5 linked regions of the Coturnix japonica genome follow. The protein of the gene in region 1 binds, or shares a complex with, the protein of each later gene. Links are inferred from orthologs where the notes say so. Each region holds a gene or a part of one and is shown in the gene's direction. Other genes may lie near its edges. The genes, in order: MTA3, CHD4, CDK2AP2, HDAC2 and CHD5.

The links.
Region 2: MTA3 (region 1) and CHD4 share a complex: the UniProt entries of both Homo sapiens proteins name them as parts of the nucleosome remodeling and deacetylase (NuRD) repressor complex. The link is inferred for Coturnix japonica from reciprocal best matches to the Homo sapiens genes MTA3 and CHD4.
Region 3: MTA3 (region 1) and CDK2AP2 share a complex: the UniProt entries of both Homo sapiens proteins name them as parts of the nucleosome remodeling and deacetylase (NuRD) repressor complex. The link is inferred for Coturnix japonica from reciprocal best matches to the Homo sapiens genes MTA3 and CDK2AP2.
Region 4: MTA3 (region 1) and HDAC2 share a complex: the UniProt entries of both Homo sapiens proteins name them as parts of the nucleosome remodeling and deacetylase (NuRD) repressor complex. The link is inferred for Coturnix japonica from reciprocal best matches to the Homo sapiens genes MTA3 and HDAC2.
Region 5: MTA3 (region 1) and CHD5 share a complex: the UniProt entries of both Homo sapiens proteins name them as parts of the nucleosome remodeling and deacetylase (NuRD) repressor complex. The link is inferred for Coturnix japonica from reciprocal best matches to the Homo sapiens genes MTA3 and CHD5.

The regions. Positions count from the first base shown.
Region 1 is NC_029518.1:21,327,991-21,333,618, forward strand, and holds part of MTA3 (metastasis-associated protein MTA3), read left to right. Parts: intron 1-3,885; coding exon 3,886-4,032; intron 4,033-5,628. UniProt on the Homo sapiens protein: Acts as a component of the histone deacetylase NuRD complex which participates in the remodeling of chromatin.
Region 2 is NC_029516.1:69,351,016-69,357,157, reverse strand, and holds the start of CHD4 (chromodomain-helicase-DNA-binding protein 4), read left to right. Parts: upstream 1-2,090; 5' UTR 2,091-2,182; intron 2,183-3,017; 5' UTR 3,018-3,081; coding exon 3,082-3,178; intron 3,179-5,113; coding exon 5,114-5,241; intron 5,242-5,396; exon of another isoform or gene 5,397-5,428; coding exon 5,429-5,620; intron 5,621-6,008; coding exon 6,009-6,127; intron 6,128-6,142. UniProt on the Homo sapiens protein: ATP-dependent chromatin-remodeling factor that binds and distorts nucleosomal DNA. Acts as a component of the histone deacetylase NuRD complex which participates in the remodeling of chromatin.
Region 3 is NC_029520.1:565,198-570,155, forward strand, and holds CDK2AP2 (cyclin-dependent kinase 2-associated protein 2), read left to right. Parts: upstream 1-2,574; 5' UTR 2,575-2,702; coding exon 2,703-2,772; intron 2,773-2,963; exon of another isoform or gene 2,964-3,001; coding exon 3,002-3,078; intron 3,079-3,174; coding exon 3,175-3,307; intron 3,308-3,393; coding exon 3,394-3,461; 3' UTR 3,462-3,633; downstream 3,634-4,958. Other genes in the region: CABP2 (calcium-binding protein 2), read left to right, coding at 1-22, 151-181, 1,442-1,576, 1,665-1,774, 1,868-2,015, 2,176-2,201; PITPNM1 (membrane-associated phosphatidylinositol transfer protein 1), read left to right, coding at 4,009-4,086, 4,855-4,958. UniProt on the Homo sapiens protein: Acts as a component of the histone deacetylase NuRD complex which participates in the remodeling of chromatin.
Region 4 is NC_029518.1:58,987,823-58,993,219, forward strand, and holds the end of HDAC2 (histone deacetylase 2), read left to right. Parts: coding exon 1-94; intron 95-1,521; coding exon 1,522-1,652; intron 1,653-2,113; coding exon 2,114-2,269; intron 2,270-3,051; coding exon 3,052-3,109; intron 3,110-3,313; coding exon 3,314-3,344; 3' UTR 3,345-3,700; downstream 3,701-5,397. UniProt on the Homo sapiens protein: Histone deacetylase that catalyzes the deacetylation of lysine residues on the N-terminal part of the core histones (H2A, H2B, H3 and H4).
Region 5 is NC_029536.1:531,796-537,423, forward strand, and holds part of CHD5 (chromodomain-helicase-DNA-binding protein 5), read left to right. Parts: coding exon 1-104; intron 105-311; coding exon 312-443; intron 444-655; coding exon 656-773; intron 774-1,249; coding exon 1,250-1,374; intron 1,375-1,979; coding exon 1,980-2,211; intron 2,212-2,300; coding exon 2,301-2,426; intron 2,427-2,538; coding exon 2,539-2,711; intron 2,712-3,437; coding exon 3,438-3,612; intron 3,613-3,926; coding exon 3,927-4,013; intron 4,014-4,452; coding exon 4,453-4,541; intron 4,542-4,692; coding exon 4,693-4,826; intron 4,827-5,000; coding exon 5,001-5,145; intron 5,146-5,628. UniProt on the Homo sapiens protein: ATP-dependent chromatin-remodeling factor that binds DNA through histones and regulates gene transcription. May specifically recognize and bind trimethylated 'Lys-27' (H3K27me3) and non-methylated 'Lys-4' of histone H3.

The DNA.
Region 1 (5,628 bases):
TCATCTAAGAGATGAAATACTGGAGAGGCTTTTAATTTATCCTGAAATAAACACAGAAATCAATCCATTGATCAGAAGCAGGGAGTAATTCTGCAGGGTATTATCACTGTTCTACAGAAGTAGAACTCATTTTAGATGTTTCTGCTCAATATTTAAACCTGCTTGTTGTACGACAAAGTAAACAATAATGATCTTGTGACTTACTGAAACAGAAATCAGATATAAATGTGGTTATGACTGTTATTCCAGAACACCAAGTTTAACAAAATCCAAGCTTCAAAGAACAGGATAGTGAAGAATTAATATCCGCTGCCACAGAACTTTGTCTTTCTCCTCTGGAGTTTAAGGAAAAAGACAGTGCTAACTTCCTGTGTGCATCCCAACCATGTGCTCTATGTTACCGATGTACAGAAGGGAGAAGAGAAAGGCTGCTTCCACTTACCGGAGGAGCTGTGGTTGAGGGAGGGGATGGCTCATCTGGCTGACCGCATATGTGCGGCCAGAAGAAGAAAGGACAGCATGAGTGTTTTAGGAAATGCTGTATGTTTTTAATGCTGCTTTGTCTAGACTGAAAGGGACTGTCCTAGTACACCTGGAAGCACAGGTCTATAAAGTTAATGGGAGTAAATGGATGGATGATCTTAGATAGCATTATGTGCACTTAGGTGATGCTTTTGTGAAGATGATTAACAGTGCTAAAATATACAAGGTATCTGTAGAGTCCAGATAGCTTCTGAATGAGAAGTGAAATATCTCAATACAACAGAAGTCAAATAATGTCTGTTATAGGGAGATGAAGTATACCCAACATAGTTCTGGGCATACATCTAAGCTTGCTGTGTGAGGATGGCTTGAAAATGGCATTTTTTGGGTGGGAAGGGAAGGCTGGGAAGTAATAGCATGTTCCAGAGAATAAGTAGTGCTTTCATTATTTATTTTCAAGTTTAGTGTTAAATGTCATGTGATACCTTACACAGGAAGTAGTTGTTTTCCTTTTAAAATCAAGGCCATGCCCACAAGCATTTTTTGAAATGCTGCTAACTGTGTCTCACAGACTCAACTCTTTTGAGCCCTACTGGTGAGACAGAAAGGATATCAATGCTCTGCACATTCTAGGTCATTGTCTTCCTTTCTCTCTTCTGCTTCTGGGCCACCATTTCCCCAGGTGGAATAGGTTAAGTATTAAAAGTAAGCCCTGTCCTCTAGAGAGCTGGAGTTAATCCCCTGTAATCTCTTCAGTCTTTACTGTACTTACAAAACAAACCCTCCTAAAGTGAGCCCCTGGATAATTAAATGCCCTATATTTCCTCTTAGTTACCAGGAAGCTAGTCTAGAGTTTCCAGCAGAGATGCATGCTGAGAAGAGATGAGAGAGATCTAGCTGCTTAAGCACCTATGGAATTCAGGCTGTTAGTTAGTTAAGTGACTCAGCAGGAGACTTCAACTTTTCTTAACTTGCTTTGTATATGTATATAGTACCTCAGTGACATTAGTGGAAATGGGAGTTTTTAAGAGTTTTTATTGTTTTACTTGAGGCTGCAAGCCAGTTTCGTAACAGAGGTTCCTAATATGTAATTGGAGTATTTTTTCTCTTCTCATTTCATTTTTATTTTAATTTCAGAAGTGATCATAGTGTCTGAATCTGGCCAGTTGGTTATTTGTTCAGTAGCTATTGGGATAATTTGGATTATTTGCATGTTATATTTACTTCTCTAAGTTAGCAGAAGCTGCAGATGGATAGGAGATTTTCAGTGAAAAAATGTACTAGTCAGTAGAATAAAGGTAATAGCAGTGGGAATAAAAAGATCCCTAAAAGTGCAAATATTTGAAGCAAATCTGTAGGTAGAGAATGAGAGCAAATGGTGTAAAGACCCTAAAGGAAGGACTCAAGGTGTTGAGAAATGGTCCTGACTGATTAATAGTTTCATAGAAAACTTGGTCCTGCTACTTTACTCATCTACAGAAAGAGAAAAAACAGCCTTAGTGGCAAACTGGGGATTAACGACCTCCAAACTGAAAAAACATCAAAGGAAGGAAATGCATCCTTTCTCAGCTTTTAGCACTTCCTGGAAATACAAAGTTATGTTTCCTTTATACTGTAGACAGGAGTTTGAGTTCTAGTCTGTTGATCCAGCTCTGGGGATTATTTTGTTTGCTGCTGGAGCTCTTTTGCAAATAGATAATGGTATAGTGGTGTTAGCCCTGAATATTAATCATTTCCTTCTGAAAAGTGAAAGAGATTGCCAAATGAGCATTTTAGAATCAGAGCTCTTAAGTAAACAGTGACAACATCAGAGATAACAAACTAGCCTTTACATGTGCAGCCTTACAGGACTGTCTTGCAGACACCAGCACCCTGCTTTTAATGCCTTTCTAACAACTAAAAACATGTTATCCTGCTCTACTCTTTTTAATCTGAATCACTTGAAGCATACAGGGTAAGAATGCTCATACTTTTAAGAGTAAGATTATGTGCTGTGGCCAAATCATTGGACAGTTAACCATAGTCTTCCAATGCAAAGTTTGTTGGTGCTGTCCGTTTTCACTGTGCAGCCTGACTCCCTCTGGCCATCATATTCCTTTCTATAGATAAAACTGTTTGGCTCTCCCACCTCCCATTTTCTGCCTATTAAAGGTTACTGTGGCTGCCTCAGACTTTTCCCTGACTCCTGGTGTGGGTAGGTGTGAAGGCTTGCAATGAAAATGGGCATGTGGTGCACACTGATATTGGGTTATGGTACTTATGGAAGAAAAATAAAATGCATTATTGGTGTGGACTTTGACTCCTGTACAATGGTTTCTCCTGCATAATTACTATGAGTAGCAGAGGCTGGGGGCCATCCTCCTTGACATCATGCCTCCTTTTAGATGTTGCATATTCCCAGCTCATGCACTTTATTTTATAAACAAAAAAAAAGCAGAAAGGAACACTCTTCAGGTGCAAACCTGGGCTACAAGAGTGCTTCATTTTTATTTTTTCCTTCTTTTCTCACTTTTTGCAGATAGCTGACTCCTGATCTGCTGGCCGCCAGCCTCCCCTGCCCATAGGGTCTTGCTCAGTGGGCATCTCTGACTGGCAGGGGATTCGGGCAGGCCTCAGCTGAGCCACAGGCCTCAGGCAGCCTGTGTGCCACTGGTTGCTGCTGCTCAGTGCCTTGTGCCAGCTTCATCTGGCAGGTTACTGTGAAATTTCCATACAACTGCACCAGCTTTTGGCAAACACAGCAGCTACCCGCTCTGAATCACGTTGGGCAGATGAGTTTCACTGCCTTTTATGTACTGAACTTATTCCATCTCTGAAATAATCCTCCTGCATGTATTCTTTCAGATGTTCTTGAATATTTGAATCCATAATAATGGTTCTGTATTGATGCTGCAGTATTGGAGTAGTGCTGTAGCTCTCTCCCTGATCCTTGCATCTAGCAACCTGTATTTCAGATGATCCTTTAAAGCTTGCTTTTTTGACAGAAAATTTTGAATAAGTTAAGACACTGAGGGGGCTTCACTGTTGTAAAGTGCTTTTGTTTCCTTGACAAACAATTTGTAGGTGTGTAGCTAAAAAAAAAAGGAGGAAAATGAAAACACAGGACTGCTTCAGTTTGTTCTCTATTATCTCTTCAATTGTGAATACCTTACATCATTGCAGTAAACTCAGGAAATCTAAAATTAAATTGATTCATCCTTATCTGGAGGAACAATAGGTATGAAGATGTGTTCAGATTGTTATTCAAAGTCCTATAAACACATTCATGCTGAAGAAACCCACTTCTGTTTTGCTAGAAACCGAAGTGTAAATTTTAGTAAACCAAGTAGACTGAAAGCTTTTTAAATCAAGTCTCTCTCTCTCTCTCTCTCTCTCTCTCTCTCTGCCTTTTGTCTTAAGCAGAGATTCACCCTGCGGCGAAACCCAATGTAATCAGATCAACACCAAGCCTTCAAAGTCCAAGTACAAAACGACTGCTTGCACCCTCCAATCATTCTTCACTAAGTATTTTGGGAAAAAGGAACTACAGCCATCATAATGGTCTTGATGGTAAGTGAAGGAATATAAGAGATACGTTCTGTAAAATTTCTGAATTGCACAATTTTCTGTGGACCTGAAACAGCAAAGTTTTATGACTTTCTGTAGGGTATATGTTTTTAAAAAATGACATTAAATAAGAAGGCACAGTCATAGAAATCTAAGGTATAGACAGTGTATTTTCATCATTGGCTCTTAATGCAATTAATGGTGATGCATATTCACTGAACAAGGGTTTTCATCAGTGCCATTAACGCCATGTCTTACAAAACCTATTTGTACCATTTTTCTTACTAATCTTTCACCTTTACATATAAGCATAAGGAAAAAATTAAGCAAATATAGTGAAAAGAGAAAGATGCAGCAAAAGCTTTACTTTGCCTTATTGCATTTTTATTTGAAGAAATATTTTGCAGAGACATGCATTGCATTTCTTGAATTCTTCTTGTGAGGTGTAACCTCTGTAAGCAATTAGATTATTTGCTGTATGGTGCTGCAAGCAGAAAATCTGGAAGAAGTTAGGTTCTGAAATAGGCTGTTGAGATGTGATTAGCACAAAAGAGGTGACTTTCTGTTTTTATGTTTCACTGGTCAAGGTAGAAACGAGAAAGATTCATTTTAGATAAGATAATAGAAATGCTATTCCAAATACAGGAGGGAAAGCTCAGTCCATTATTTTACCAGAACAATCGTGCTTTTCTGTCTTTGTCAATGTCATTTGTATCCTGCAGTAAAAATACCTACTGTGCATTTAGTAATACCTAGAAATCAATACATTTTTCGGAAAAAGCAAAATAAAATACAGTATATGTATGACGGGATCACTTGGACCTTTGCTCACTGTGCAAACAACTATCTCATGGCAGGCAAATGACATGCACAGCAACGCAAGCTATTCAGTGGACTAAGATGACAACTGTGTGATAAAAAAGTGATATCATTAATAGGCATAGCTATAAATGCAGTGCATTTCACATAACAGAATTTTCACTATGAACATTCATTGTGAAGTACTGTAGTGACGATCTGGTAATTTCTGCATGTGATTGTGAACAAAAGCTGCTTTTTCTCCTCTCTAATGCTGGCCATTAGACTGGACTATCTTTGTAATCTTTGACCAAAGAATGAATTTCACCTGGAAATAAAGATTTTTCCACAGCAAAGAAAGGTATAGCAATAAGTTCAAGGTAAACATTATTATGATGATATCCTTTAAAGAGCTGAGCTTCATAACATTTTTTTCTATCTATTCTGAATGTTCTCTTCAACATAAAGTATTTATAAAGCTTGTTATTAGCTACATTGATTCATTTGTATCAAATACATAACTGTGTTAAGGCAATTTGTACACAATAGCATCTAATTTGAAAAATTACTATTGAGAACTGTAAATTGTTGCTTTAGGAAATAATTATTTCTACTTATCTATTTTCTATTAAAACATAAAGGAAGCATATATCCAAGGTAATAGAAATCTGGAAAGTGTATTTTGTTCATGTAAGAATGGCTATTTTGGATTTTGTACTACTTTTTTCTTTAGTTAAAAGCTTGCAAAGTGTAGTCGGTGCAAACTGCAAAACAATTTCTGACACACTGGATGTGATACAA
Region 2 (6,142 bases), on another chromosome or scaffold:
CTGGGCTCACGTTGATGCAGACCTGCAAAGAACAGGTAAGGAAGGAAGGGAAATGCACCTACAGCAATTAAGGGACAGCATCACGTTTATGGAAACATCAGATGATACTGATTTTAGAAGACTAAAATAAGTGGATTCATTTCCACTGAGGCAGTACCGAGGTGTCCTGGCAGCATTCAGCTCTTGAAACCATTAACATGTGTGTGTTGTTTACTGGGCACGATAGACGCTACCAGCAAACAGCCAGAAGCCAACAAACTGACCTCCACGAGTGTACTGTTGCACCACCAGCAAGCTGTTGTCATGGTGCCTTATCTGTGCCCTACACAGGAGAGCAGGCCTGGGCTGCCCTCTCTATGTGCCTCAGTGTCTCTGAAGGGCTGCTGGTGTTCACAGCAGCGAGACACCCTGCAAGGACCGTAGTGCGATGTGCTTGGCTCTGGGTCTAACCTGGAGGGACATGTCTGTGCAGTCCAGCGGGATGTGGGCTAATAAAGGCTGGTGCTGGGGGCAGAGTGAGAGGGTGTCCTCGGGAGCAGGGCTGGGATGGAGTGTCATGGTGCCTTTGGGTTACCTGGCCTGGTGAAGGGATGTGAGAGCTGTGGGAGCATCCAACAGCAAGGTGAGTTACATTGTAGGGATCCTGTGATAACTGTTTCTTATGATCTTGTTAGATGTTCGGTTTAGTTGGCCCTCACGGGCAGCTGTCAGTGCACAGAAGGAAGACAGGAGTTGTGCTGGGGTCCGTGTGAGAGCTCCCAGCCTGCACACCGCTGTTTGCAGTGGCACGGTGTTCTGTTGCACTTACCTGTGCATAGGTGTGCACAGTGCAGCCCTTTACTGCTGCCTGTCCTCTGTAGGGCTGAGAGAACCAACGCAATGCAAAGGGACAGAGGACAGGGCGGCACCTGTGTAAGGCAAGAGGTCAGAGGGCTGTGTAGGCAGGGTTGTATTAGCAGGGCTCCATAAGCACACGAAGGAACACAATGCAGTTGGGCTCCACACCGCCCAGCCCATCTGTGCTAGCGGCACAGGGTGTGCATGGAGGAACGGCTGTGTGCATGGGCAGCGCGGGATGCTGCGGCGGTGCTCCAGGGGAGGAGCCAGCAGACACTGACAGCCATTGTTCATGGGCTGAGGTGGGCAGGGCTGGGTGCCCGGCGAGCTAACGGAGGTGCCATGGGGCGAGCGGTGCCATACAGTGACCATTAACGGCACGGCGACGTGTGTGCAATTAGGGCGTACGGGCGAGGCGATGGTGCCAGGTGTAGGGCAGCAGCAGGGCGCAGAGCAGGGATGCCCCGCATTCCTTTAGGACGGGGACAGCTTTAGGGCGCTACCACGTTGTGCACCTCGCGTTACATCCCCGACGTACGGTCCAGCAGCGGCAGAGGTCACCGGGAGACCCACACTCAGTGCAGCCGGTGGCTGCTTGACCCGGGGGACCGTACCCGGTGTGAGCCGGGCGTGCGGGCTGGGACACCTGGGTGAGCTCTGAGCTCTGAGGCCATGGCGGTGCCCCCCGCGGCCATGGCGGTGCCCCCCGAGGGCCCGTCCCGCTGCGGGCGGGGCGGTGTCGGAGCCCCGCTGCGGGTATTATGGGATGGCAGGCTGGCCGGTGGCTCCCGGCGACTATTATGGGATGCCTGCCCGCGCAGGGGGAGGGGAGAACTATTATGGGATGCGTGCCCGGGGTGTGACTATTATGGGATGTGGAGGGGATCGGCTGCTTAAACCCCCAGGAGGTGTCCGTGGAGGGGGGGGTCCGGCGTGGGTATTATGGGATGCCGGAGCGAGGGGTTAGAGGTGGGGAGTATTATGGGATGCTCCCGATGGGGGGGGGGAGGGAGAGAAGGACCCGAGGGGGGATAGAGGGCGAGTATTATGGGATGCTGGGCCGGGCGGCGAGTGGGAAGTTCTGAGGGGAGAGTGAATATTATGGGATGTCTCGGCTGGGGGGGGTGTTGCCGGGGATACGGGGGCGGGGTCTGTTGCCAGGTTCACGGGGTATATTATGGGATGGAGGCGGGAGTGGGGTGGAGCCTGCTTTTTTTTTTTTTCTTTTTTTTTTTTTTTTTTTTTTTTTTTTCCCCTCTCCCCCCTTTAAGAGGCGGTGCCGGGGCCGGAGCCATTTTCCCTTCAGCAGCGGCGGTAGCGGAGCGGAGCTGCCGTCTGGAGCCGGGTGAGGATCTGGGAGGGAACGAGGGCGGGCGCGGCCTCTCCGCCGTGCCTCGCGTTGTGCCCGCCGCCCCGCGGGCTCTCCCCGGTGCCTGTTCCCCCGGCCGCTTTTCGGTCGCGGCTCGACCCGGGACCGCGGCGGCCGCGGGACGCTGCCCGCCCCGCCTCCCGGCGCGGCCCCGACGAGCGGCCGCCCCGCCGTGCCCGGCCTTACCGTGCGGCCCCGGTGTGGAGCCGGCCCCGCGGAGAGCCGGACCCCCGCCGCCCGCCGGCCGGACTTTCCCGGCCCCGCCCCGCGCCCCCGCCGAGCCGTCCCCCGCCCTGCGGCCCCGCTGCGCTCCGGGCGGGGGAGCGGCCGTGGGGCCTTTTGTGTCGGTCCCGGGGGCAGCGCGGCGGGCGGCCCGCCAAGTTGGGTCGGGAGGGCTCCGCCGCCTTGCGGGACCGCCGGCCGCCGCCCTGACGGAACGCCGGGCGGCTCAAGGAGCCCGTGGGAAGGCCGGCTCCGCTCCCCGCCTTCTCCCAGGCGAAGGTAGAAATAACCTAGGGCGCTCATTCCGGTCTGGCACCGGCTGCGGGAGGCAGGAGGATGTTCCCTATAGGACAGCTGTTTTGGCTCCCTGTGAGGAATGAGTTGCTGACTCAGTTTAACGTCTGCTGTCTTAAAGCCTGCTTCATCACAACTCTGATGTGATACCTGCTGCCAGAGTACATGTTATCTGGCGGCTCCCGGTGTAATGAAATCATTAAGCTTTTTCTCCTGAATCCTTTTGGTTGCACTATTGCTTGGGAAACCGCGTTTTGCATCTGCTATAACTTTCTCTTAATTCTTTTCAATGAAGTACTGGCTTCACCGGCAGGAAGGCAGCACTTCTGTGAGCCTGGGCCTCCCCTGGTTCAGAGGATATGGCATCGGGCATCGGATCTCCGTCGCCATGCTCGGGGGGCAGTGATGACGATGAGATGGAGATCCTGTTGAACAACGCTATCCCCCAGCATCAAGGTATTGAGGGCCTGCAGGGCAAGCGTGCGAGGTGGGGTAATGCTTTCCTTGGGCTGGATATGTGGAATAAATGCTCTGTGAAGGAATGTCCCTTCAGCTAGGAGTTAATGTATGTTTTTGATCTTTACTATTGGAATCCCAGTTCCAAGTGTGAGGCTCGTGGCTTTGTGTCAGGTGGAGCAGACTTTGTTCCGAGATACCATAGGTTGTCAGTGGGGGCTCATGCTCTGGGAAGGAGTGAGCAGTCAGTGTTATGTCTTAATTTTGACCAAAATGTCTGAGTTTCATATTCCTGGATTGGGGGAGGTGGCTGTGTATGTGAAAGGGGAGGATGTCTGGCTGTTTCATCTGGGATCTCAGGCTTGCTGCTGTCCAGAGCAAACTGCCCTGGGCTCTTGCATGACCCACTTTTTCTTTGCCACACCCAATTATTGAGGCTTCTGGTGGCTCGTTTTCTGTACTGCCTACTCACCTTTGCTTTTCTCATAGTCTTTGTACCTTACCTTGTTGCCTTGTCCCTTTTGCTTGCATCCTCATCTGCATGAGACTGGAGTTAGAGCCCTGGGTACTCTGCTGTTTTGAATGTTATTGATGCGTGCACTAAGGAAGCCATAAGCATCGGGCTTCTCTGTTTCCTTGCAAAAAGAGGTTGTATGTATTCTGATGTGTTGGCCTGTTGAGTTTTCCCACCAAGACATGCCTGTTGTAGTGTTGTAATATCAAATGAGAAAACGTTACAAGTGGAGAGGCAAAATGTTGTGGAAGGCTTGGCTTTTTTTTAGGGTATTGACTTGAGCTGCATTTGGTACCTCTTAGGTAGAGGGGAGATGGTCATTAAGCCTTGTGAGGGAAGCCTTGTTGAGGAAAACAAACTGTTAAAATCACTGCAGACCTGAAAGCTTTAGGGAAAAGCATTGGAAGGGGTGGGATACTTAAGCTCTGAATTAGCTGGAGAAGGTGTGGAATCCCCATATGAGCTGGTGTTGCAGGACTATGTGAGCAAAGACTTGCTAATTAGTTGGCACGGTGGCAGGACTGCAAGACCCCAAATTCCGAGGGCTTTACTTCTGCTCTGTCTGCCTGCTGCAGCTACCTGACCTGAGGCTGCCTCCATCCTGCCCAGCTCCTGTGGTCAGGAGGCCATTTTCCCTTGGAGGGAGAAGGAGTGACTCTGGCTGTGTGCAATGGGCGGGGCGGCAGGGGAGAGCGAATGGCTGGGCTGCTCTCTGAGCCTGCCACAAAGGAAAGGGTTGCCCGGCTCTCCCTGGGGTTGGGAGAGGTAGGGGCACAGATGGAAGGGATGGTGATGGGGAGTTGGCTGCTTGTCCCTGCGCTGGGCGCTTGCTTGCTAGCTGCTGACAAAGAGGGAAGGGGTGGAGAGAAGGCTATATCAAGTCTGGATTAGAATTGAGTTGCTAAGTAGCGGCTTACCTATGGGGAGGACAAGTAGTGGCTTGCTCGACTGTGTTATGAATGTATTTTAATGTCTGTAAGCTGTAGGGTACTCTGTTCTGGTGAAAAGAAGAACACTTTTTTTATTCTGGAGGACTGAAACGTTATCTTCAGGTCTCAAACATACTTGCTAAATGTACTTGCTGCTTTAATTCCTTTAGTTATGGTAATCTACTCTGTGCCCTTCCCTCTTCTTATTCAGTTAGAGCAAACTTCTGGTCCCTAGGAACTGCTCAGTTGGGAGAAGGAATGTTGTGGAAGTGGGCCTTGTTGGAGAGAGGGTGTATGGTAGTACCTTGCCATATGATTAACTGTAAGTGTTGTGAACAGTAACAAGGTGTAAGCAATAATAGGGTGAGCAAGCTCTTCTGTGTTTGTAAGTATGTAGCAAGAAGTAGGCAGATTCAGGGATGTCTGTGAGAAGTATGCTGGGCTGTAGTGCATAGATGGGCTTTGAGTGAGATGTCACCTCTTCCCCTCCAGAGCATGAAGAAGAGCCAGAAGAAGATCTTCTGTCAGAGGCTGAGACACTCAAAATCAAAAAGAAAAAGAAGCCCAAGAAGCTAAAGGAACCCAAAGTACCCAAACTCAGCAAGCGTCAGAAGAAGGAGGTGAGGGAAAGAATGCCACAGATCATACTCTAAAATATGATTGCGTTGTGGTGAGGAGGCTTGCTTTGTTGACCTGTGACAGCAGTCCTCTATATGAATCCTTTAGAGCTTGGGAAGTGTGGCATTTAGTGCTTATCCAGGGTGTTTTCTCACAGCTGCCTGATCTTCTCTCTCCCTCCCTCCCCAGCTTGGGGACAGTTCTGGTGAGGGCAATGAGTTTGTGGAGGAAGAAGAGGAGGTTTTGCGCTCTGACAGCGAGGGCAGCGACTACACTCCTGGGAAGAAGAAAAAGAAGAAATTAGGGCCAAAGAAGGAAAAGAAAAGCAAAGCAAAACGCAAGGAGGAAGAAGAGGAGGAGGAGGAAGATGATGACTCCAAGGTGAGAAGCTAACCTGCTGGCTTACTGCTTATTTCCCAGTTCCATGTGGATTTGGGTTAGTAGTCTCAGACAGCACATGGAGTGGGGAACAATTTAATTTTTTTATCCTCTAAACAACCTGATGTGACTATTTCCCTTGTTGCATGCCTTCCTCTCTCCTACCTGAAATACATAAATATTGAATCCAAAGGATTTTCCTATCTGTGATGTTCTAGTGAGGCTGTATCCTATAGCAGTGACAAGAGGAGAGTGGCTGGTGGAAATCCGCCAGTCTTGACCCAGTGGGTCATCTGTATTTGGAAGATGTATGTATGATATAGATGTGTGGAAGTTCTCTCTTCTGGAATGCGTGCTTTTGCTCAAAGTGGCCATGATTCTCTTTGCACAGGAGCCAAAGTCATCTGCTCAGCTCCTGGAGGACTGGGGCATGGAGGATATTGATCATATCTTCACAGAGGAGGATTACCGTACTCTCACCAACTACAAAGCTTTCAGCCAGTTTGTCAGGTGAATTGCAAGTCT
Region 3 (4,958 bases), on another chromosome or scaffold:
GAGCATTGCCATCACACAGCTGGTATGTGAGTGTTGTACCCCCCCTGGGGCGCATCCTTTGGGGTCAGTGCCCTCACAGCTGCCCACTGGTGTGGATTTGGGGTGGCTGTGGGGAGGGAGCCATCCTCCAGCCTGTGTTCTCTTTGTCAGGACCGGGAGCTGCGGCCGGAGGAGATTGAAGGTGAAATGTGGGGCCAGGGTTGCTGCTTCGGTGTGGGGTCTCACCCATACCCATTCCCCTTATTCCCCATCCCAGTTCCCATCTTGCCACCCGTCCTGTTTGATCCCTGTCTCTCCACATGTTCCCCTCACTTTCTGTCCTGGTCCCCATCTCAGCACCTGTTCCTCTCACTTCCCATCCCTGTTCCTGTCTTTCCATCTGTTTATCTCAGTCCCCATCACAGCACTTGTTCCTTGCAGTCCCCATCCGGGTCCCTATCTCACCACCCATTCCTGTTCATTGCCATCCCAGCCCCTGTTTCACCACCCGTTCCCCTTGGTCCTCATCCTGGTCCCCATCTCAGCACCTATTCCACTGGGTTTCCATCCCAGTCCCCATTGTGCCATCTATCCTGCTTGGTCTCTGTCTTGATACCCATTCCCCTTAATTCCTATCCCAGTCCACATCTTGCCACATGTTTCCTTTTATCTTCATCTCACCACCTGTTCCTCTCAGTCCCCATCCCATTCCCCATCTTGGCACCTCTTCTACTATGTCCTCCACCCTGGTCCCCACTGTGCCTCTTATTCTGCCCTGTCCCCATCTTTCAACCTGTCTCAATCTTCATCTCACTACCTGTTCCCCTTGTTCCCCATCCTGGTCCCCATCTCAGCACCTCTTCCACTGGATCCGACCTCAATCCCCATTGTGTCACCCATCCCACTCAGTCCCCATCTCAACGCCTGTTTCCTTGGGTCCTCATCTCAGTCTCCATCTCAGCACCCATTCCCCTTAGCCTTCATCCTGGTCTCCATCTCTCTGCCCATTCCCATTAATCCCCATTGCAACCTCTGCCCCATTCCATTGGGTCCCCATCCCAAGTCCCCACTGTGCCATCCATCCCACTTGTTTGCTATCTTGACACCTATTTCCTTGTGTCTCCATCCCATTTTCCATCTCATCACCTTTTCTCCTGGCTCCCTGCCCCAGTTCTCATGTTCTTAATGTGCTTTGTCCCCATCTTGACACCTGTTCTCTTCAGTCCCCATATCAGCACCTGTTCCACTGGCTCCCTATCCCAGTTCCCATTGTGCCACCTTTCCCATTCAGTCCCCATCTTCACACCCATTCTCTTCAGCTCCCCATGCTGGTCCCCATCTCAGCATCTATCCCTCACAGTCCCTGTCTGAGTGCTGCTCCCTTCGTCCTCACCTGCCCCCACCTGTAGGGTGCCCCCATGGCTGTCTATAGGTGTCACCATTCTCCCTGTGCTGCCCCTAGAGTTGAAACAAGCCTTCAAGGAGTTTGACAAGGACCGCGATGGCTACATCAGCTACAAGGACCTGGGTGAATGCATGCGCACCATGGGCTACATGCCCACCGAGATGGAGCTCATTGAGCTGTCCCAGCAGATCAGTAGGTGCCAGGACAAGGGGGAAGTAACCCCATATTGCCACAGTGGTACCACCCCCGCTGATTTGTAATCCCCCTTTGGTCCTTCCAGCAGGCGGCAAAGTGGATTTTGATGACTTTGTGGAGCTGATGGGCCCCAAGATGCTGGCGGAGACAGCGGATATGATTGGGATCAAGGAGCTGCGCGATGCCTTCCGTGAGGTGAGGGCTGGGGGCAGCAGGGCCGGGATTGGGGGAGGGGAGGGGGTGCAGTGCTGGGAGCACAGTGGTGATGCTGGGTCTCCTATGGGGCAGTTCGACACCAATGGGGACGGGCAGATCAGCATGGCGGAGCTGCGGGAGGCCATGAGGAAGCTGCTGGGCCAGCAGCTCAACTACCGCGAGGTGGACGAGATCCTCAAGGACGTGGATCTCAATGGGGACGGCCTGGTGGACTTTGAAGGTAAATGGGGGCAGGGTGAAGGAGGGGGGGGGGGCCCTATTGATCCCAGCTTTAACTGGGGGACAATGGAGCCATGGATGGGGGGGCCTCCCTATTGCCAGCTGTATTTGGGGCTTATTGCCGGCTTTATTTGGGGTTAATGCTGTGGTTCTTTGTGCAGAGTTTGTGCGGATGATGTCGCGCTGAAGGGCCGGGACTCGCCGCCGTGCCTTACCGGGAGGAGGAGGAGGAGGAGGAGGAGGCGGCCTTCCCGGGCCTGCGCTGCCCCTCATGGTGTGTGTGGGGGGGGAGCTCCGGTGTTGGAGCCCCGTGTCGGTGTGTTGGCAGCGCTGCCGGTTCGCAATGAAGCTGTGTGCCGCCGGGTGCCGTGTGCCCGTCCGTTGAGTGCCGGGGGAGGCCTCTGGCCCTCGCTGTGGGGGTGGGGGTGATGGGGGGGTGCAGGACGCCGCTGGTCTCCATGGTGATGGGAGCCCGGCGCGCCATGTTTGCGTATCGGCGGCGTGCGCCTCGTGACGTCATCACCGCGCTCCCCCGACAGCGCAGGCCGGCTCCCTTCGTGCCGTCGACCAATCGGCGCCGCCGGGTCGCTCCGTCTGACCAATCAGCGGGAGGTTGTGGGGGGGGGTCGCCCCGCTCGCTTCCGTCTCCTGCACACGGCGGGCGCCGCTCGGCCCGGAGCGCTGCGGGATGTCCTACAAACCCATCGCGCCCGCACCCAGCGCCAGCCCCGCCCCGGGGCCCGCAGCCACGGCCGCCGGTGAGAGGAGCCCCGGGGATAGAGCGGGGGTGGGGGGAGAAGAGGGCGTAAGGAGGGGCACGAGGCCTGAGGGGCGGCGGGGCCTAAGGGAGAGGGACGGAGAGTGCGGAGGGGAGTCGGGGCTGAGGGAGGGAGCGGACGGAGCTGGGCCCGAGCGGGGCCGGGCTGAGGGGTGACGGGCCCGGCCCCAGTGCGAAGGAAGGGCCGGACCCGGGGTCGCTCCCCGCAGCTCCCAGCGTCCCTTCGCCGTCCGCCTTCCGCCCGCTCTTCAACGACTTCGGGCCGCCGTCCATGGGCTACGTGCAGGTGAGCCCGCGGGGCAGGGGCACGCGGCGGGAGGGCGGCGTGGGGCGACGCTGAGCCCCCCCCCCTCCGTCCTCCTCGCCTTCCATCCCCTGTCAGACCATGAAGCCGCCCGGCGCTCCGGGCTCGCAGAGCACCTACAGCGACCTGCTGTCTGTCATCGAGGAGATGGGCAGGGAGATCCGGCCCACCTACGCCGGCAGCAAGAGCGCCATGGAGCGGCTCAAGCGGGGTAACGAGCCCGGGGGGCGACCCTCTGTGACCCTCCCCCCCCCTTAAGCCCGGAGCTCAGTGCTCACTCATATCCCCCCCATTCAGGGATCATCCACGCTCGGGCGCTGGTTCGGGAGTGCTTGGCCGAGACAGAGCGCAACGCCCGCACGTGACAGCAGCCCCCCGACCCCCCCCCCCCCCCCGAGCCCCGCCGGTGGCTCCCCCCGAACGGGGCCACCCCCGGGGCTCCCCCCGCCCCAACCTTCCGGCTTTTATAAATAAAGGACGTGCTGCATCCCCCCCCTTATAAAGGAAATCCTCCTTCCAAGCCCCCAATTCCCCATATATACCGCTCCGTTTTAATTTCCCGGTCCGCCGCCCCCCCGCTTCTGACGTCCCCTCTGACGTCACGCCCCCCCCCACGCTGTTCCACCTCCTGACGTCAGCGGGCGCCCCCCACGCCGTGACGTCACACAGCGCGGGGCCGGCTCAGAGCGGCGCAGGTTCGGAAGGGGCCGAGCGCAGCCGAAGGGAACCGAAAGGAGCCGAAGGGTGACGGAAACAGCCGAAGGGAGCCGAGAGCGCGGCCGAGCGGGCGGGGGGCGCGTTGCTATGGCAGTGGGGAGGGCCCGGCCGAAGCGGGCCGGGCCGGGGCCGGGTTAACGGCGGAGGGCCGCGGAGCCCCCCCCACCCCTCGCCCCTTCCCCTAAACACGGCGCCATGCTGATCAAGGAGTACCACATCCTGCTGCCCATGAGCCTGGAGGAGTACCAGGTAGCGCAGCTCTACATGATCCAGGTGCGGATGGGGCCTGGGCTGCGGCCCGGGGGGGGGGGTCGTGTGGGGCCCGGGATCGTGTGGAGCCGTGGGGGGGTGCAGGAATGTGGGGCTTAGGGTGGAGGTCAGCGGGTTCGAGGCTGAGGGATATGGGGGTCAATGTGGAGCTTGGGGGGTTGAGGATGGTCTGGGGGATGGAGGCGTCTCTTATGGAGTCTGGGGGAGTGCAGGAGGATGAGGCAGAAAGTGAGGGTTAGGGCTGAGCTGGGGCTATGGGGAGCTATGGAATTATGGGGCTGAGAGAGAGGGGGTTGGGGTGATTCAGAGCTGGAGGGGGCTGTTTCTGGGTAGTATGGAGCTTGGGGGTTGTATGCGGTCCTGGGAGTTGTGTGGGAGCCCAGGGCTGAGGGTGGAGATTTGGGGCTGAGAGGTATGGGGTGAGAAGGGGTTGAGGGTGGGGGTCAGCGTGTTGCGGGATTGGAGATCTGAAGTGGTGGGGGTTAAGAGTAATAGGGATACGAGGGCAATATGGAGCCTGAGGGGTGCAGGGATGCAGGGTTGGGGGCTGAGGAGGGTGCGGGGTTGGGGGCTTGGAGTTGTTGTGGAAATAGAATGTGGAGGCATGGGGCTGAGCCTGTTTCTCAGAGTGCAGAGTGGGGGTCTTGGGAATAGCTATGGGGCTGAGGTGGGGGTGCAGGGTGAGGAATGGGGTGTGGGGGGGTGGCGTTAGATGCCTGGTAAGATGCCAGGGTTTGGGGTGCTGGAGCTCAGCTCACCCTCACCCTGCAGAAGAAAAGCCGTGAGGAATCCAGCGGCGAGGGCAGCGGGGTGGAGATCCTGGCAAACCGCCCCTACAGCGATGGCCCCGGTGGCAGCGGGCAGTACACCCATAA
Region 4 (5,397 bases), about 38 Mb from region 1:
ATTACTTTGAGTATTTTGGACCAGACTTCAAACTTCATATTAGTCCCTCAAACATGACTAACCAAAATACACCAGAATATATGGAGAAGATCAAGTAAGTAGTGCTTACATTATTTGCCAAGTACATGTGTGAGTTGTGCTTCTCTAAAGGTTTAATATTTACACAAGTTTGAGAGTTCCATTCCCTACTACACGCTGAAAAAGTACTGAATAGAAAAGACATTTTTTTCCGTTTTATCAGAAGATGAAATTTTAATTAAAATATCTGTGCCTACAACATTTTCTGTGCTTATGAGTCCTGAGTATTTAAAGAAGAAAGGCTTAGGACTCAGTTTCGGTGGCTTTTTCCCCTTCTTCCAGAAATGAAAGAGTTGACTGTTTTATTTGGCTTACTCTGATTTTGTAAGAAATTTATCCTGTCAGGAAAGAAGCTGTGCTGTGCACTGATTATTAGGCTTCCAAATTCTCTACTCCCTTGTCCAAACACGAGTGATTGTCATTCTTTGTAGCTGTCAGCCTTAAAAATAGAAATCATGTGAGGAGACATTAAAAACTATGGAAAGATGTGTGCAAGCGATTGAGAGACTGTAGTTTGATGAGTCCACAAGATTTGTGAAGTACTTATTGACAAGCTGTAGATATTGTGTTCTTAGGCTTTGCTTCTTCAGTTTATGCCTACCCACATCATGAAGGTTTGTAAACTAATATTGGTCTTCAGAAATGGAATAATACTTAAGAATAATCAAATCTGTACTCATCTAATAAAGAGATAATTGGTTAACCTGAAGTACTCATTGTTTACAATTGTTTTGTTCCTGATTTGGATTTAGAAGAAGGTCATGTAATAGAAACAGAGACTGTAAGGATCTCATAAAACCTCAGTTGCCATTTCATTCTTTGAATTGTGCAGGGGGATACTGAGGTAGTTGTCACAAATGCTGGTGCTTGTAATCTCCCAACAATTCTCTCCACTCAAACAGCTTTGGACTGATAATTTTGAGTCCCAGGTTATCTATCCTTGTTCCCGCATGTGTGTCTATGGAGTGTGGGATCTGTTGCATCAGCTGGCTTGGACAAGAATGTCTATTCTCCCTGTACTAGCCAGTAAGCAATTTGATCTAGATGGATCGCTTTTGATCCTGATCTTACTGTTGCACACAGCATGGAAATAGTCATGCTCTAAGTGTCTGGCTTTCTTCGGAGAATAGTTTATTACCCAACCTGATAGTCTTGTCTATTAAATAGAGTAATACTGTCACCAGGTCAGCCCAAGCGGGAAGGACACCTACTGACCTAATGAAAAACTGAAGATTGATGTTCCCTGACAGTATATGTATAAAATTTAAGAGAATGTGATATCGAAATAGGCTGTGAATACTGGTGATCTGCTGTGGATGGAAGGCTTTCTGAAGGCTTTCTTAAAGAAAAGCAGGTTAACTTTGAGTGCAGAATTTATCAAATTGAACACGAAATCCAAGGAAATACTACTTCTGTGTAGTAGTAACTTTGTATTAATTACAGGCAACGCTTATTTGAAAACTTGCGCATGTTACCTCATGCACCTGGTGTACAGATGCAGGCCATTCCTGAAGATGCTGTTCATGAAGATAGTGGAGATGAGGATGGAGAAGATCCAGACAAACGCATTTCCAGTAAGGGATACTATGAAGTCCAAGTAGAGTAATCCTAGTTTTAACTGTTCAGAACGTCAGTCTGAAGTGCGATATTGGAAGATGAGCACTTGGAGAACTCATTTACTAAGTAAAAAATACTTTTGCTGTTGGTCTGCCAGTTTTGTGGTTATTAAAGTGGCCTCTGTGCCCATATATGAATCCGTACAGGAGTCTCAAGAAGTGCTCAAGAATACTTGAGTCGTATAGAGCAAGTTGTTGCAGTATATTTTAATATACTCCAGAAGTGTTAGATCAGTTGTAATGGAAGGACTTAGCTTCTGACTTGCTGTTCATAAAAATAGTAATGAATTAAGTGTTTTTGAAAGTAAAATGATCTATCTGGTTTATAACATATTTTTACTAGTTCTTAACTTGGTAGTTCTTTGGTCTATTTAGCCAGTCTTTGTTCTGACCTTTTTGTTTAATTTCTTAAATCCTAGTTCGAGCATCTGATAAGCGCATTGCCTGTGATGAAGAGTTTTCTGACTCTGAGGATGAAGGGGAAGGTGGACGGCGAAATGTTGCAGATCACAAGAAAGGAGCAAAGAAAGCTAGGATAGAGGAAGACAAGAAAGAGACAGAAGACAAAAAAGCAGGTAGGATTCTATGGTTATTTTATCCTACCTTTTAGAATAGCAGGCATTTGTCCTGCTGGAAGGAGGATGCATTCTCTGTTAACAGTTATTTTACTATTGAAACTTTTTTAATCATATTTTAAAAAACTATTTTAAAGTTTAATCAGTTTCATCATTGATTTTAAGATGCAGCTGTTCATCCTGAAATAGTATTTCTGTGCAGACTTGAACAATTGGATTAGTGTTGTTTCTCCCCAAACTCAAAGCTTTATAAGGCAGGGGTTTGTTAGGGTTTTAAAAAAAAAATAAATAATAATAATAATAAAAAAATTATCTTGCTTTAAGTATGTTCTTTTTTTTTTTTTTTTTTTGCTTTAATGGAGTAAGGCTGCTGGTTTTCTTCTGAAACTGAAGCTTGGTAGGTTTTTAGGAATACTGTACTTAAAAGAATTTTGGGGCTTTTCAGTAAAAGGCTGTATCATAAGACTATGAGATAGTGAGCCCCATGAAACTTTGGGAAAAATGCAGTTTTTGTTACAAACAGACACTCTTTTGGCCAGTCAAGAGAAACTATGCCTGACTTGCTTTGAATCACTTGGCACTGTGCCCAGCTAACTCCCCAGGATGGATACATTTAATGTTATATGTCAATAAGCAAGGTTACTTTTTTCTTTTCCGGAAGCTGTTTCTCTTAGTTGCAATTGTATCTATGAAGTATAGCTGTCCCGGATTTTTTTTTCTGTCCAAAGGAAGGTCGCTTGCATTTCTTCATATATTTCAAACCATGTAATTTTTATTTTTAGATGTTAAGGAGGAGGATAAATCCAAGGACAACAGTGGTGAAAAGACGGACACCAAAGGGTAAGCAGTTAATTAATATCACATTATTGAAGAACATCTAGTAACTTAAAGTATTCTTAAGTATTGATTTCTGTACAGGTACTTGATTCCCTCATAATACTAAACACTTTACACTTAGAACAAGACTAACTCTACGTTGCATTTCTGAAATGGTTAATCTAAAAAATCACGCATTTTAACAGTTTATTTTTTGCTTTTGTACAGAGCAAAGTCAGAACAGCTCAGCAATCCTTGAACAAAAGATAGCCTCACATCAATTGCAGAACATAATGCTAGAATTGGAGAATACCTAAAGGAAGAAGTTTTCATTTTGATAAAGACTGCTGATTTCATTTTTGTACTATTTGGCATGGACCGTATTTATTTTCAAACGGCTTTGTTCTGGTTTTTGGCAAGTTGTATTGTGAGTTTTCTAATTATGAGGCAGAAATTCCTTTCTTCACCATGCTTTATGTAATAGTATTTAAAATGGATGTGAGTTATGTTAAATGTCTAAACTGATCTATTAAAGTAATTTGCCTTTCCTGAGCTGATTTTACCTTTTTTGTAATTTTATCTTTATTAAAAAAATAAAAATAAAAAAAAATTGTACTTGGTTGTCTTCTGTCCATCACTGAACTAAAAAGACAAAGCTCCGTGTAAGTTGAGCAGATTTGTGTTTGTCTCTGAGTAGCAGATAAATCTAGATAGGCAGATGGTGAATATTCAAGTTGGACTGTGCTGCTTCATGTGCTTCAATGGCTGCTTCCAAGAGTAGCAACAAATATAATATGAGTACATGAGATTTGAACGTGTTGAATAAATGGGGGAAGAGATATTAGAATAATGTGGTTGTAGGAACTTGCATTTTGATACAAAATTTTAAAGCTCAATGATAAAATGCCTTGTAGCATCCAAGAACCTTTCCCACCATCAGAATCTACTCCCAAAACTGGTTAATTTGCTGTAAATGAAATTTCTATATGGTCATCTTTCAAAACATACAAGATAAGAAGTAAAGGTTTGGCTGTAATTAATAATCTGTCCTGATTTATTTATTTTTTTAATAGCTATAAGCATTATCAAATGTTGTCCCTGTTTTAAGAAGAAAAACACATAATTTTTTCTTTGTTGATTGCTTAGTTCATTCTGTTGCCTGAACTGAAACACAGAAACCTGAGTATACTTATACTTCTTTTTTCCTCCTCTCAAGACTATCATAGTCTTTGTTTTCAAGCTTACAGAGCATTGAACACTGAAGTTTGCAGTATTGCTGTTAATTTCAAGTAGTTTGTGAATTAATCACTGATCCTGTTGGTAATTGAAGTTATTGTTATCTATTGTGTGAACTAGTGGACTGAAATGCACTGTTTAAGGAGAGAAAATACTACTTATATGTATCAAAGTGGTAAAATGCTGTTTCTCTGTTTTCTTTGAGGATAGCAAAAGTACAAATGCAAGGACCAAGACCATGGGTTTGGGTGCAGTTGTGAGCATTTGTGTTCTCCTGTGTGCATCTAATGCCTTCTAGCTCTCTAGTGCAAAGGATAAAAGTTAGATTTGAGGAAATATAGGGAGGTCACAGGTTTATACCAAAGAGGTGAGAAGTGCTAAATGATGCCAAAGGCATGCCTCTAAGTGCCAAGGAGTTTGGTACTCTAAATTTTGTTACAGAAGTTTTCACGTTATATAACTGAAAGTAGCAGATATATTTGTATTATATACGTGTCTTAAGGTGGTGGGTTGATTGGTTGGTGTATTATTATTTATTTATTTTTGAAGTTGATATAACCTTACTTTGTGTCTGTTAACAGGGTTTTTGTTCAAGTGACCTGTGGTCTATGCCATTGTTACAAGTATATCAAAAAAACATTTCTAGATAATGGTATTGAAAAGCCCAGATTTTTAACTTGGGATCACTTCAACACAAAGTAATGAAATTTAATAATGTTAAGATATGAATGAAACCCAAGAATACATGTGATTGTAAACCTCAACTAGAACTAAAAAATAAGAGTTAATCTTTTTGCCTCATCCTGCATTTTTCCATGAGAAATTACAGTGCTAAAACTACTCTATCCTGCTGAGTCCTGGCAAATTTCTATTAAAGGCAGTTGTACTACTGAAGTATATGCCTTTGTCTTTATGTAGCCTCACTACCTAAACATTGTACTTTGGATTAACTGTGAATTCTCCAAACGTAAGCAGTTTAATTTATTAATTTTTCCCCTTCTGAAGAGAAGCTGTTGCTAACCCTTCTATAAATTTTGCAGGTTTCTTCTGCAAAATGAATGTCTCTTATGCCTTAG
Region 5 (5,628 bases), on another chromosome or scaffold:
CCCTGAACTCGAAAGGTGGAGGGAATCAGGTCTCCCTGCTCAACATCATGATGGATCTGAAGAAGTGCTGTAACCACCCCTACCTTTTCCCTGTGGCCGCTGTGGTATGTGAACTGTGTGCACCATAGAGATGTTTTGCAGTGTAGTGTGTGTGCAGTCTGTCAGTGGGGTTTGTCTCCAGCTGTCTTTGGTTAAAAGTACAGGTTTTGGTGTGCAATTTGATATGGTGTTTGCCTTTGCAATGCATGTGACTTTTTCCATGACTTTCCCCAATGCTTTCCTGAAGAGGTTATAACCAGAATCCTTCACAGGAGGCCCCAGTTCTGCCCAATGGATCCTATGATGGGAATTCTTTGGTCAAGTCTTCTGGAAAACTGATGCTGCTCCAAAAGATGCTGAAGAAGTTACGGGATGGGGGTCACAGAGTTCTGATCTTCTCCCAGGTGAGCAGTGGGAAGGGCTGGTGAGGGACTCTGATAAATTACTAAAGGACTTCTTTGTTCTGTATGAGAATTCTGTTAGGTACAGACAGGGATAGATGGAAGATGCCAGCTGATGTCACAGCTGGGCACCCCATCAGTCAGGGGGATTAACTGCATCCTGTTCCTCTCCGGAGAGTACCCATGAAATGTTTGAAACCACTTTTTATCTGCAGATGACGAAGATGTTGGACTTGCTGGAGGACTTTCTGGAGTACGAGGGCTACAAGTATGAGCGCATTGATGGTGGCATCACTGGAGGCCTGCGCCAGGAAGCCATTGATAGGTTTAATGGTAAGTGCTTTTCCTCCCTTCCAGGAGTGGCAGTGGGCACTGTGTGCTGGGGCCAATTTGCAGCAGCCAGCAGAGGGGTCAGGCGTTGTGGGGGCTGTGTGTATACCTGGAGTGCAGAGTGCTGAAGCTCAGAGCCCTGGCACAATGCAGGGCTGCTCTTGGTGTGTTAAGCCCCTCTGGTTATTTCACACATTAAACTCTGAGCCTGTTAATGACAGGCTGTTTGGCTTGAAAGACTCCTGCATTTCTCTTTGTGGCCTCAGAGCTTCCCTTTCAGACCTGGAGCTGTATTTTCTTCACTAACTAATTTCCAGGGGTTGATGTATTTTTACTCCTTGTCTTCCCTGCCTATTGCTTCTTGGCTTAGACTGGTGGACCCTGATGTTTTATAACTAAAGCACTGTGCTACACCTTTCCAAATAAGCCCAGCTCCCCTTTGTCTCACCTTCTGCCACCTGTGGGTTTGTCTTTCTCAGCTCCTGGTGCTCAGCAGTTCTGCTTTCTCCTCTCTACCCGCGCTGGTGGTCTGGGCATAAACCTTGCTACGGCTGACACAGTCATTATTTATGATTCTGACTGGAATCCCCACAATGACATCCAGGTTTATTACTTTTTCTTTTCCTTCCAGTACAGTAAGTACCTTTCTGGATGGGCCCCCTGTGCATTCTGCCAGTGAAATGAGCTCTCTCCTCTTGAGAGCTGCTGATGGTTCCTGCAGTTTGCAGGACATAGTTCTGTTCAGGAGCTGTTTGCACACCTCTATTGGCCTTACCTTGGCCTGTCAGCAATGCAGGGGTGGACTGGCCACTAAAACTGGCTTTCTTCCATGAGCTTCTGCCCTTCTCCTGCTGTTTGTCTGCAACCTAGTGTCCCTTCCTGTTCTGGGGACTTTCCACTTGCATTTCCAAAAGCTGTGGTAGATCCTATCTAAGGACTGATCTGCAGCCAGAGGATTCCTAGGAGGAGCTTTTCTGCACTGCCTTCAAGCCTTTCAATTAGGGGCCATGCACGAGGAAGGTGGCCTGCTCTGTAGTCAGAGGAGGGGGAAGGAGGAGTGTAAAGCCTACAGGTTGGCTCTAAGGAGCCCCTTTTGCTCCACTGCCCCATAGCAGCCTGAGATCAGCTTCTGGCTGAGGGGGTCCAAGACTGGGCTGGCTGCAGATGTGCCAACATTGGCTGTTCTGCAGTGATGTTCTCTGCCTGCAGGCATTCAGCAGAGCACACCGCATCGGGCAGAACAAGAAAGTAATGATATACCGCTTTGTGACAAGAGCCTCCGTGGAAGAGCGCATCACCCAGGTGGCCAAAAGGAAGATGATGCTCACCCACCTGGTGGTCCGTCCTGGGCTTGGCTCAAAGTCAGGCTCCATGACCAAGCAAGAGCTGGATGACATCCTGAAGTTTGGGACAGAAGAGCTCTTCAAGGATGATGTGGAAGGTTGGGTCAGGAGGGAGCTGGAGATGCTCAGAGCAAAGCCAAGCCCTGCTGGAGCTGCAGGGGCTCATTCCTGTGCCTTCCACTTGCAGGCATGGTGTCTCAGGGACAGCGGCTCACCATGCCGGATGCCGTCACCCCTTTCTCTGACACGCTGTCCACCAAAGGGGGTGCAGTGACTCCTGGCATGAAAAAAAAGCATGGTGGCACCCCACCAGGTCTGTAGCCCCTGTTACTGGGATGACTTTGCCCTGTGTCCAGCCTGATCTTGCCTGGCTCTGGGAGCACACAGTGTGATTTGCTTTCTGTTCCCCTTGCTTTGCCCTCCAGGTGACAATAAGGATGTGGATGACAGCAGTGTGATCCACTATGACGATGCTGCTATCTCTAAGCTTCTGGACCGAAACCAGGATGCGACCGATGACACGGAGCTGCAGAACATGAACGAGTATCTCAGCTCCTTTAAAGTGGCCCAGTATGTTGTGAGAGAAGAGGATGGTGTGGTAATGTGATCAGTATCATGTCTTATAATCACATCTGTTTGTATGTCCCTGTTTGTGCTTCTTCCTCTGCCTTTTTTGTTCCTGTGGGGGTTTCTCTGCAGGGCAGTACTCCTCCCTGCTCATTGCTGATGGTAGCAGTGATGGTGCAGCCAGCAGGACTGCAATGGCTAAATGTGGTTCTGACCTATTGTGACCTATCGCTCTTCTGGTACTTGGTTCTGTTCTTCTGAAGGCTGCTATTCTGAATACTGGGAGCAGGGCACGGTGCTGCTCATGCATTGTGCTGCTGTCATTTATTCTCCCTGTAGCTAACAGACTTCCTTCAGCTGTCTCTCAAGCTGATAGTGGGCTGCTATTCAGGGCAATCTCTGTGGATCTGTGATTGTTCCCTGGATGTGAGCACAGGCCGGATGGCAGTGTTCTCAGGAGCTATTTCTAGGTATAGGTGGCTGACTGGGAGGTTGTCTCAGCCCTTTGATAACCGTGCACTGAGGTCAGTGCATTTGGGTGAAAGTGAGACTCTGTGTACATGCATGTAGAGCAGGGTGAAGGAGGCACACCACTGGGTGGTCAAAGCATGTCTGAACATCTTGCTTACCAGCAAGTGTCTCAGTGCCCTCCTTCCATCCCTCTTCCCTAAAGCTCAGTAGAAGACGCACAGCAGTGTGGTGCAGGGAGGTCTGCAGCTCTCTTGTCTCAAGCCTTTTTGGTTTCCTTTCTTTGCAGGAGGAGGTGGAACGTGAGATCATCAAACAAGAGGAGAATGTGGACCCTGACTACTGGGAGAAGCTGCTGCGGCACCACTATGAGCAGCAGCAGGAAGATCTGGCCAGGAACTTGGGGAAGGGGAAGAGAATCCGCAAGCAGGTCAATTACAATGATGCCTCTCAGGAGGACCAAGGTATGGCTTTGACTGCTTGGCTCAGGTCTGGGAGCAGGCTCTGTGATTTTTGTTTCCTTTTGGCCTGTAACTGGGAAAGAATTGAGGAGAAACCTGACTGTGGGCAAAGTATTTAAAACTGGTTTGTTTTTTTATTTTCTGTGAAGGAAACTAATAATAATGGAAAAGTTGAGTCTGGTTTCCTGTTTATTTCTGGGTCTTTCTCTCTGGCTACCTGGGACTGGATGCTGGGGGCAGTGTCAGGGCTCCTGTTGTCCCCTTGAGGCAAGCTTGCAGGGTTCTCTCTCCTGACCTTGTCTCCTTGTGGTCTGCAGAGTGGCAGGACGAGCTCTCTGACAACCAGTCTGAGTACTCCATTGGCTCTGAGGATGAAGATGAAGACTTTGAAGAAAGACCAGAAGGTCAGAGTGAGTTAATGGACTTGATAATCTACAATGTCCTCTGCAGGAACTTCAGTGATAGCCTGTGATTTGGGGTGGGCTGGCACTCAAATGCAGCAGGGAGGTCTGAGCTGAAGAGACTGCCTTGCTTCTGGGGAGGCATTCTTTGCCCTGCTGGGTGAGGCAGTTCTCAGCACAGGGAGCATGACTTGCTGGCTAATGTAGGGCTTTGGTCTTGTCCTTGTGGTAGCAGTATCTGGTCTTCAGTGCCTCCCCTGGCATGAGGAGGCCACGTGAGTGAAAGGGCACTCTGAACAACCCTGACTGCCGCTGTGTGCAGGTTCCACTCCCATTGGGAAGGGTTATGGGAAGCTTAGGGCACAGGGGTTGATCAGCATTAGGTCTTTGGCCATCCCTCTGTTGGCTGGGCACGTTTGTTACATAGGTTGTATGACTGCAGGTGGCAGAAGACAATCACGGAGGCAGCTGAAGAGTGACCGGGACAAACCTCTCCCTCCTTTGCTGGCAAGAGTTGGGGGGAATATTGAAGTGAGTGTCAGCACTGGCCAAAGCATGTCCCTTGTCTGTCTGGTCCGGTTTGTGCTGCTCTTCAGCATCAGTCCTGGCTCAGGACCTGTAGCAGCTGTGAGGCTCTGAGATGTCATCATTTCTGAGGCCTCCCAACCTCTGCTCCCTGCAGGTTCTGGGGTTCAATGCCCGGCAGCGCAAAGCCTTCCTGAACGCCATCATGCGGTGGGGAATGCCGCCCCAGGATGCCTTCAACTCTCACTGGCTGGTGAGGGATCTGCGAGGGAAGAGTGAGAAAGAGTTCAGGTACTGTGATCAGGCATGAAGATGCCTGTGAGGCGTTCATCTCAAACTGCTCCATGATGCCATGTGCTGGAGGGCAAAACTCTGCCCTTGGCCGCTGGTGAAAACAGGCACTGCGGGTGCTCAGCAGGGAGCTCTTGGTCCAAGCTAGAGCCAGCTCTTGCTTTCTTTCCACAGGGCTTATGTCTCCCTGTTCATGCGACATTTGTGTGAACCTGGAGCTGATGGTGCAGAGACATTTGCAGATGGGGTCCCACGGGAAGGTCTTTCTCGCCAGCACGTGCTGACTCGGATCGGAGTTATGTCACTAGTAAGGAAGAAGGTGGGTGAGTAAAATCTTACATGTGCCCTTCAGGTACGTTCTGGATACCTGGGGGTTTTGTTAGCTGCTGAATGCCTCCTTGCCAGAGATCCCCTTATTGAATCTCCAAGGCTTGGTGCACGGCCACGTCTGTGGTATTTCAGTGATGTAGGTCAGCTGGAGGTAGAAGTGCTTGGTTGGCAAAAAATCGTGGCAAAATCACATTTTTAACTTCTAAAAAATTCCTGGATTTATAGTTCTTTTCATTTCAGATGGGACTATTACAGTAACCTACTCAGACCTCCTATACTGTACAGGCCAGAGACTTCCACTTGCCAAGTCTTGCATTGTGTCCAGCATCTTGTTGAACCAAAGCATGTCTTTCAGAGAGATGTTTGGGCTTGATTTGGGACTGAATAACTGTTGGTCATGTTGCTAATCCCAGGCATGTGCTGAGCCCCGAGGATACTGGCAGTTAAGTGTATGGAAGAATCCTCAGCTGTC